Linked DNA regions of Cricetulus griseus. The protein of the gene in region 2 purifies or fractionates together with the protein of the main gene of each other region. This does not show direct contact. Links are inferred from orthologs where the notes say so. Each region holds a gene or a part of one and is shown on either strand. Other genes may lie near its edges.

Region 1 (3,448 bases), on a different chromosome or scaffold from region 2:
TCCTTGATATTGAATTTCTCTCAGTGAAATAAAATATGCTTTAACAAGATGATGTTAATTTAAGTTTGACCACCTGGCTCTTTTTTTCTTTCTTTCTTTCTTTCTTTCACACTTTCAGAGGGAACTGATTTATCTATTATGCTCAGCCTTGCAAACGCCTGTTATAAAGACAAAATAGTTCCCAAGTGCCCCATAATCTCTCCTGATTGATAATGGGGAAGCTATGCATAATTGGAACATTAATCTTTTATGTTTCTAAATGGAAATATTTCTTGCAAAACAGTTACTCAACAGTTACTCAACAAAACACTAAGTTGCAAGTGGTCTGACTCCAAATGCAGAGTCATTTCCTCAGTACCTATCCATAGGTACAGAGATCTGGCCTTCCATTCCCAATAGAGTCCATGCAGTAGTCCTGTTTACAGTTTAATGGAGATGAGGGAAGGGGTAGTCACCTTACATACAGGTTTACAGTAGCATAGCCATTGTGTACCATTGTGTACCATATGCACTACATTCACCACTCCAGATGAAGGTCAGGGAGCCCCTTCAAACACTGGCACAAAGGAATGTTTGTTTTAAAGACCTACCAAAGAAACAACAAAACAAATGATAACACACAGAGGCACTAGTCTCAAAGCTGCACAATAGGGAAGCAAAGGGTTTGAGATGAGAAATTCAGGGAAATATACACATGAGCTTGCTGAGGAGGAGGAAAGAGACACAGTCTAATCTTCAAGGCTACGGAATGCGTTCTGCATATCTTCAAGAAGTTGTGCGTAGTCAGCTTTGATCCTTGCCTCGCCATCTTTCACAGGATCCTGAGAAATAATACAAATTTAATTCACCTATTGGAAATAATTTTCAAGATGTAAGATAGGTTACTTATTAATACGGAGTACCAGGTTAGTTGAGGTACACTGGTAAATCACAGGTAGGAGTCAAAACTACCCTATTTTCTTTTACAGTGGAAATGTGCAAATAGACTGAAACAAAACAAAATCCATTATTTCATTTTTGAATCTTGCCTGTAGTTGATGCTCAATGATCAAACCTCAGCAATGTGTATGTTAGTGGGAACTTCGTAATATCATGTACTAGACACATGTGTGTATACAAGAACTGGAAGTTAAAATTCAGTGAATTTCCTGAAGGCCTGGAGCATCACTCGAAGACGGAAAAGTGAGACTAATAGAGCACATTTAACGGAATCCGGGTCATTAGGTTTAGTAGCAAGTACCATTACCCACTAAGCCATTTAGTGGCCTCCAGGTCTGTGCTTCTACAGTACAAGTATGCTCAAAGCATCGTTTTCAGTGGGTGATTACTACATGTGCCTATGCGTGACTTAGAAATAACACTATGTGCCGGGTGTTAGTGGCACACACTTTTAATCCCAGTACTTGGAAGGCAGAGGCAGGTGGATCTCTGTGAGTTTGAGGCCAGCCTGGTCTACAGAGTGAGTTCCAGGCTTCAAAGCAATAGAGAAACCCTGTCTCAAAGAACAAAAAAAAAAAAAAAAAAAAAAGAAGTAACACAATGTAATCCAACTCATCAAATATTTTAAAACACTCCTATATCTGGGTTTCTACTGGTAAGTTCACTTAACTGGTTAAACTTTGTTTATGAGAAAGTGGAGGCTAGATGAAATAATAGGCACTTTACTAAAGTAACTGCTGTCCAGCTAGGACGTTACTCTATGCTGACTAGTAGCTAAGACAGAGAGCAAACACATTAGAATTTATTTTAGACATGGCATACTATAATATTTTTTTAATGTGTATGTGTGTGTGCCTGAGTATATATCTGTACATCCTTTGTGTGCAGTAATCCTTGGGTGTCAGCAAACTCAGATCCTCAGAGTTTCGGTTGTATCCACCATATAGGTGCTAGGAGTTGAATCCAGGCTCTCTGCAAGAGCAGTAAGTGCTCTTAACTGCTGAGCCTTCTTTCCAACCCTACAAACATGACATAGTACAATCTTTACCACTGGAATTCCTGCTTGAACATAACTTGGAAGATTGTTCTGGTTTTATACAACCTAAGTATTATAAAATGAAAAATGCAAATTTCAGGAACATAGAGATGGCTCAGCAGTTAAACTTGCTGCTTTTCCAGAGGACCCAAGCTTAGTTCCCAGCACCCACACTGTGTGCAGGCACCAGCTCCAGGTAATCCAACAGCCACTCTGTACTCCACAGGTGACCACACACAAGTGGCACAATACTTACAACAAATGTATCTATACACATAAATCAAATGAAAATAGGTCTTCAAAAAGAAAAATGCAAATTTCATACCTCAGGTTTGGAACTCAAATAGGACAGGAAGGAAGGGAAAGTGAAGAAGGGAGGGAGAGAGGGAGGGAGGGAGGAAGGAAGGTTGGCTTCTTGCCAACAAAGGTCAGAGTAGAAAGAAACTATACCTTAAATTTCATGGAGGAAAGTTTATAGAGGATCTCCCCCATGTGCTCACGGATAATGGACCATGTGATTTTATTGTCACTCTGGGCAGTGGTCTCAACAGCTCTACGGGCCATATCATAAAATGAAATCATGTTGGACAGCATCCCCACTGTCTTATAGAATGGACAGAACCTAGGGAAAATGAACAACAAGGCAATTAGCAAAAACAACCTACAAAGCAAGTGCATATTTTTATTATATGAAACTTCATGAATTACCAGCCATTAGTTTCTTTAAACATATATTCTGCTTCCAATTATTGAACAGAAAACAATGAAGCAGTACTGCCACACTAATGACTTGTCAGCAGTCTGTTTGGGTACAAGAAGTTAAATATGTAACTCAAGTGGAAAAACAACTGAGTTGTAAGACTCCTTGTGGCCAGAGTCAAGGTTTAATGAATAATAGGAAAGCAGAGAATTGCAAACTTGCTAAAGTTACCTTGTTATCCCTCCCTCCTCCGTGTACTCAGAGCCTTGGGTATCCCAGGTAAGCTATCACCCCCTCCCCAAGCCCCAGCCTTCAGTTCTCTTTAGTATACTCATTTTTATCTGCCCATACCTTTTAAAAGCATACACACTCAAGCACATGCACGCTCGCAAGCAAACACAAACACACACACACACACACACTCAACTCCATGTATCTTATTATAGTCATTCTGAAGAATTCTACCCATTCTCTTTATGTGGTGTTTCAGTTCAGGACAAATCAGACTTCTGAGGCTAACTGACATATTGGCATTCTGGTCAATCCTATTTGCTCAGTTTTCACCGTGGGTATCAGTCCGTGCCTTCCTCCTCCTCTGAGACAGTCTCGGCAGTCTACCACTGTGTATGCCACACTAGCTTCCTAGAAGTCCTGTTTCCAGCATCCTAGGACACAGATGTGTGCTACTGTGCTTGGCTTTGTGTGGATTTGGAGGGCTTGAAATCAGGCACATCAAGCCGGTTCCCTAGCTCTTTTTAGTCTTGGATGGAGTC
Region 2 (3,500 bases):
AAAGGTGCATTTTCCTGTGGGAGCTTAAAGTTGACACAAAGGATTTCACATCGTCAAGCACTTCATTCTTGGATTTATGTAGATTAACTAAATTGGTTCCTTTTCACGTCCATTTTGAGTGTGTATGTATTGCACAGAATTGTTCAATCCTCACTACAACCTAATCTGAAACCATCACACACTCGGAAGAAAGCTCACACGGGCCTCTTGTCCTCTGTGAAGTAGGACACCAGTATACAGTTAAGGGTACTGTGCGTGCAGGCGAGTGATGGGGTACTGATGGCAGGTGCCCAAGCAGACTGAAATGATATCCCAGGGAATGCTTCATACCCCAAATACATGCAATCTTGGTAATCAGTTCTGTGTTATCTTATGGTTACATTCATGTTATTTTGATATTCTTGGGGTCTAATTTTGATGTTTGTTGCTTTAACTATACTGAACTCCACGGTCAGTTAGCCCTGCCCATGTTTTATATATTTTTGGGTCTGTATTTGGGGGTGTAACTGTGGGGGTCCTCTTTGCACTGTCTGCACTGAACGCATGGCCTAGCAGAGCAGAGGCTTTATATTTACTTCAGCTGGGAGCAGCTTTTCTGTTAACTTCTTGCTTGGAGGCTTCCTAGGCAATATAAATTTAAGTCTCAAATCCACACAAAGAGAGCCCTGGGGTTATTAATGCCCTGGGAAACAGCACATACATAGACCATAGAGTGTCTTTTTGTTTCCTTTGCTGGCTGGTAAACTATCACTATTCCCTTTCACCGGGAGTGCAGCCCTTTTCTTGCTCCCCAGCTTCATAAGAAAGTGTTAGTTCAATCTCACAGAGAGCCAATGCCTCTTGGTAGTCCCAACTGGAAGCCTGCTAACTACAGGTTCCTCCTCTTTGTGGGAATCCCTATTTATTTGAGAGCTAAGCTACACATTTGAAACTGTTTATTTTATGTGCATTGGTGTTTTTGCCTGCATGTATATCTGTATGAAGGTGTCAAGTCACTTGAAGCTGCATTATAGACAGCTGTGAGCTGCCATGTGGGTGCCAAGCCTTCTTTCTAGCTCAAAACTTTTATTTTTTATCTAGCACTTCTAGAGGTTTTTTAGTGGAAACTGGAGGAGGAGGAAGGAAGGAGTCCAGGCCTATAAAGCTGCTTGGACTATTTGTTTCAAACAGTCTTGCTATGTAGCCTAACCTGACATTGAACTCACACTAATCCTCCTGCCTCAGCTTTCTGCCATCACACCTGATTGAAATACTTGCTTAAACAGGTACCCTTCCATCTCAGTTCAATCTGGTGGAAGGCAACAATCTCCAGCTGGCAGCTCTAGACTGTCTACGATCGGTACTGGCTACAGCCTTTATACTCCAACTCCCACACTGGTCCTTAAGATTGAGCATGGAGGACCTTGTAAATAGGTCCACAGGGCTGGGTATCTGATGACAGCAAGTGGTGGGGCTCACCATAAGTGATCTTCATTTTTCTTAGACAAAGTCTCATGTAGCCCAGCCCAGCTTAGCTTCCAATCCTACTCTGTGGCCAAGGATGGCTTTTAAGTTCCTGATCCTCTTGCTTCCACCTTCCAAGTGCTGCGATTACAGGTGTGAACTGCCATACCAGTCCAGTAACATTCTTAACTGGTGCTGCTACAGGGCACCTGCACCACTTTCCCAGCACTGCCAAGTGTGCTGAAGCTTTGTGTGAGACCATGTACCCAGACACCATTTTACCATGGCCATCAAGTTTCTCTCTGACCCCCTATGTCAGTGGCTCCTTTAAATATATGCTGCAATCCTCCTCACCATAAAATTATTTTCCTTGCTACTTCATAACTGTCATTTTGCTACTGTTATGAATTGTAACGTAAATACCTGTGTTTTCTGGTGGTCTTAGGCGACCTCTGTGAAAGGGTCGGTCAACCCTCAAAGGGGTTGTGACTCAGGTTGAGAACCAAAGCTCTGTATTATATACGTTCAGTCAAAGCAAGATCCACACTGAAATACTGATAAGCTACACCAAAATTATAAAGAGGTGTATGCAGAGGGTCCCAGAAAATGAGGGACTGGGTCACAAAAATAGTGTCTCTCTAGAAAAGCAGAATTTATAGGCTGAGAGAGGTACATTACTCCCTTGGAACAATTTCTAATGGCTCCTTAACATGCATAGCCTTACCAGCACTAACAGCTTTGCTTTCACTCCCAGCTCAAGAATTGATATTTAGATTACCTAATGGCAAGCCCAGGGAACCTAGTGTCACTGGTAAAAGTACAAAGCTACGTGAACAGGAAAGCTACATTATCACTGAAATTCTTTCTGATTTGCTAAACACTCATTCCTATCACCTATAGGTAATATAGAATTTCATCCTTTGTTTTTCTGGGTTTTGTTTTTTGTTTTTTCCTGCAGGGAAGATATCGAGACAGACCTCATATAGCCCAGGGTGACCTCAAACTCATTATGTAGTCAAGGATGACCTTGAACTCCTGAGCCTCCTGTCTTTGCCTCCCAAGTGCTAGGATTATAGGCCTACATCACCTCACTCAGCTTCAGAATTTCTAATTTTTTAATTACATTTTATTTGTGTATGTATATTAGTGTGTGGGTGTGGAGGTCAGAGGACAATGTCTAAGAGTCCCTTTGTCTCCTTCTATCATGAGCAATCTTGCCAGTAGCTCAGGGTTTTATTCTTTTTGTTTTGTTTTATTTTTCTCTGTGTAGCCTTAGCTGTCCTGGAACTCACTTTGTAGACCAGGCTGGCCTCAACTCAGAGATTCACCTGCCTTTGCCTCCCCAGTGCTGGGGTTAAAGGCGTGCACCACCATTGCTGGCACAGAGTGTTATTATTTAAAGTAAGTTAATCTCATAGTTTTAAAACAGGATCTAAAAACATACTCACCTCTTGCTCTGTCTCAAGGATGGTCCGTGACTTCCTCACAAAGGATGTGTCAAATGACTTGACAGTCACTAACTCTACCACTGCATTCCCACCATAGAGACCATACATGTCATCTGCAAACTGAAAGTTAGCTATTAACATTATGATGAATGGCAAAATACATAAATTTTGTTTACATTTGCAGTTTTGGTTAACAAAAACCTTATAGAACGGTTCATTGGTATCCATAGGGGACTGGTTCTAGAACTTCTACAGATTATAAACTCTATACTCTTACATGAAATGGTACAGTATTTGCATGGAAACTATGGGTAGCATCCTGTATACCCTAAATCTTCTCTAGAAGATACATGTCACTTAACATTGAAATGCTGTGTAGATAGTTGTTATACTATATTGATTAGGGACTAATGACAAGAATTATGGGTATAGATCTCATATACAAGGTATTGTTTCAAAATACATATACATTGTGGAATGGGTAAATTAGCTAGTTAACATATACACTACTTCACATACTGATTATTATTATTGTGGCTGGTCAAATCAGTATTTGTTAAAATTATTTGTAGCTTTATAAATAATTACATAGCATGTAATATTAATATA
Region 3 (2,565 bases), about 120 Mb from region 2:
CTCTCCCTCCTCGGGCCCTGCCACACCCTAGCGATGCCACCGTTTCTCCCGCTTATTTTCTGGAAGGGCTTCCAGCGCCTGAGTCTCCGCACCAGTACAATTTCGGGGGCAACGCAGATCTTCGCGAGCCCAGAGAAATGCGGGGCGGGGCGGGTCCGTGGCAGGTGCTGCGTCCCGCGAAGATCCATGCGCGGGAGCCGAGAGCGCCCCGCCCCGTCCCATCCCTCCTGGCGCGATCCCATACCGCCCCTCTGGGAGAAACAGCAAGGCCCTGTGGTATTTGCAGTTGCCTGTATCTTTCATTGTAAGGACTCTCCCCAAGGCCAGGAGAAATAATGGGCCTCTACCTTAACTCGTTAAGAGTATCAATCAGCTTGATGAAGACTCTCCCACCCTTCCCCTCTCACCTGTTAGGACTACACCTGGGCACTTCTTCCCCTCAGTCAAAAACAAATCTACTGTCAAGTGCAGAAATGAGTGACTCAAAGCCGAAGCCCAACACATATGACAACACGTCTTTATTTTATTAGGAAGGGAAACAAAAAGAGTACCCCCATCCCCATCTCTTGGCAGACAATCCTAGTGGGAATAAGCCTTGTGGAGGTCTCTTCTTTCTCAGGCTACAGAAATAAACCCCAGTGTACAGATCATTCTTAACATGTCACCCAAAAAACACAACAGCCAAGCTGGACAGACAGTTAAGTAGTCTTTCCATACATCTCAAACTCAAGGAACCTCAAGTTTATTGCTGTTGCTGGAAGATTCATAAAGCTTGGGGAGTGAGCATTAATTACACAGAAGCACTATAAACAGCAAGTAGCGGAGGGGCAAGAATAAATAAGGGGGAAAGGGAGAAAGGGAACCCTAGAATTAATGTTCCTTCCCCTCATGATGATGGAGCCTGGAAGATTTGTCTAATATCTATGAAGAATATATACACTTTGTTGGTAGAGATGGGGGATAGCCCCAGGGAAGCCAGTCCCTCAGTAGGTTGAAGAGGAAGCAAGACAGGCTGAGGGTACTGCAGGGTTCATGCTATCGAAGAGAAAAAAAACTTTCTATCCACTATGCCACAAGATGCAAACATGACAACCTAGACACCAACACTCCCTCAATCTCTCTCTGGCACAGGTCACACAATCTGTGTCAAAGTGATGGTGGGGCCCTTGTGGTCGTCAAAACGATCCATGGTCTTGAGGCTGAGTATCATGTGCAGGCCATAGGTGAAGATGAAAAGCATGAAGAGGGTGGTGAGCAGCCCCATCCAGATGCCTGGAGAGAAGAAGCCAGCACAGTCGCTAGCATAGGAGAACTGCTCACCCGTCACATTGAAGGCCTGGATCTAGGAGACACATAGACATGGATCAGAAGGGACCACAAGTTTCTACAGACAACAAGGGCTGGGGTTCTGGAATCAGTGAACAGTCTAGACCTTCAGAGACAGCATAAGGATGGAACTCTCAGCTACATGCTCAAGCCATACTGAAATTCTCTGGGCTCTTCTTCCCTCCCCCTACTGCCACCAGCTTGGAGCCCATTCCCCCTTTAATACCTGGAAGTCCTGAAGAGTCATCTGCCAGAGTGAGGGCACGTTGGTCACAAGGAGATTGCCTTTCTTGCTCAGACTGCTGACATACTCACAGTGGAAAGAATAGATGCTGGGTCCCGTGACTTGGGAAACATTGAAATGGGAAACAGAGCCATTGCTGTGGATTTCAAGTCGTTCCATAGTAAACCAGTATCGGGCAGACACTGGGTAGAAGCGACTAGCCAGAATGAACCTGGGAGGTGAGGGTAGCAGAGATTGTCAGATGAACAGAAGACAATGGAGACATACCAGCCAAGCCACACTTCAACCACCAGAACTTACTTGAATGTCACCATTGCACCAAAGAGTGGTTCATAGGTCAGTGAAAGCCTGTGGGACAAGGCAGAGGGGTGCTGTCAGGCTCTAGAAGGACCTAGAGTATGGTTCTCCTCAGGCTGGGTCCAATCTAAGCTGTCCTAAATCCATCCTTACAGTCACCTGCCAATACAGTGTCCCCATTTATCTGATGGGAAAACTAAGGCTCCAGTCATAAGCAAATCAGGAACAGTTGGGGGATCTGCACCTAGGTCCCAGATCTCCAGCTTAGGATTCCTTCCTCTGGTTCTCCTGAGTCCCCTGAGCCTCTTTCATCCCCTTCTTAAGGTTATTCAGCTGCCTGCTGAGGTTTCAGGTATAGGAAGCCTAGAACTGGTTTTGGCGGCTGGTCTGCTATTTGCTCACATGTAGTCCCAGGGGTTGAGTTCAAAGAAGCGCTAGGGTTCCAAGGGACTGTGTGAGGGTAATAACCCAGAACCCAACAACCAAGGCCTAAAAAGCATGGAAAGGTAAAACTTGTGAGGCTTCCTCTCCAGTAACCTCCCAGTAACATTACCCCGTGATACTATCTTCAAGTCCTTGGTGAACAGACCTTCTTCACCCCCAACATAGACACACCTGATCTACATTCTTGCCCTGTACTGGGCTCACAGTGGCAAGAAGGCCATATGTGATAACACAGTCCTTCCTTCCCTGCCTAG

What was found. The genes of interacting proteins can lie anywhere in the genome.
Region 1: the proteins of Atp6ap2 (region 2) and Atp6v1a purify together in Homo sapiens (co-immunoprecipitation; 3 studies listed by BioGRID and IntAct, with this or other methods). This does not show direct contact. The link is inferred for Cricetulus griseus from reciprocal best matches to the Homo sapiens genes ATP6AP2 and ATP6V1A.
Region 3: the proteins of Atp6ap2 (region 2) and Atp6ap1 purify together in Homo sapiens (affinity purification with mass spectrometry; 5 studies listed by BioGRID and IntAct, counting the BioPlex papers as one, with this or other methods). This does not show direct contact. The link is inferred for Cricetulus griseus from reciprocal best matches to the Homo sapiens genes ATP6AP2 and ATP6AP1.

What each region holds. Positions count from the first base shown.
Region 1 is NC_048597.1:46,316,953-46,320,400, reverse strand, and holds the end of Atp6v1a (V-type proton ATPase catalytic subunit A), read right to left. Parts: intron 2,598-3,448; coding exon 2,426-2,597; intron 822-2,425; coding exon 729-821; 3' UTR 501-728; downstream 1-500. UniProt on the Homo sapiens protein: Catalytic subunit of the V1 complex of vacuolar(H+)-ATPase (V-ATPase), a multisubunit enzyme composed of a peripheral complex (V1) that hydrolyzes ATP and a membrane integral complex (V0) that translocates protons.
Region 2 is NC_048604.1:118,221,884-118,225,383, reverse strand, and holds part of Atp6ap2 (renin receptor), read right to left. Parts: intron 3,012-3,500; coding exon 2,892-3,011; intron 1-2,891. UniProt on the Homo sapiens protein: Multifunctional protein which functions as a renin, prorenin cellular receptor and is involved in the assembly of the lysosomal proton-transporting V-type ATPase (V-ATPase) and the acidification of the endo-lysosomal system.
Region 3 is NC_048604.1:1,419,039-1,421,603, forward strand, and holds the end of Atp6ap1 (V-type proton ATPase subunit S1), read right to left. Parts: intron 1,919-2,565; coding exon 1,871-1,918; intron 1,782-1,870; coding exon 1,553-1,781; intron 1,343-1,552; coding exon 1,133-1,342; 3' UTR 501-1,132; downstream 1-500. UniProt on the Homo sapiens protein: Accessory subunit of the proton-transporting vacuolar (V)-ATPase protein pump, which is required for luminal acidification of secretory vesicles.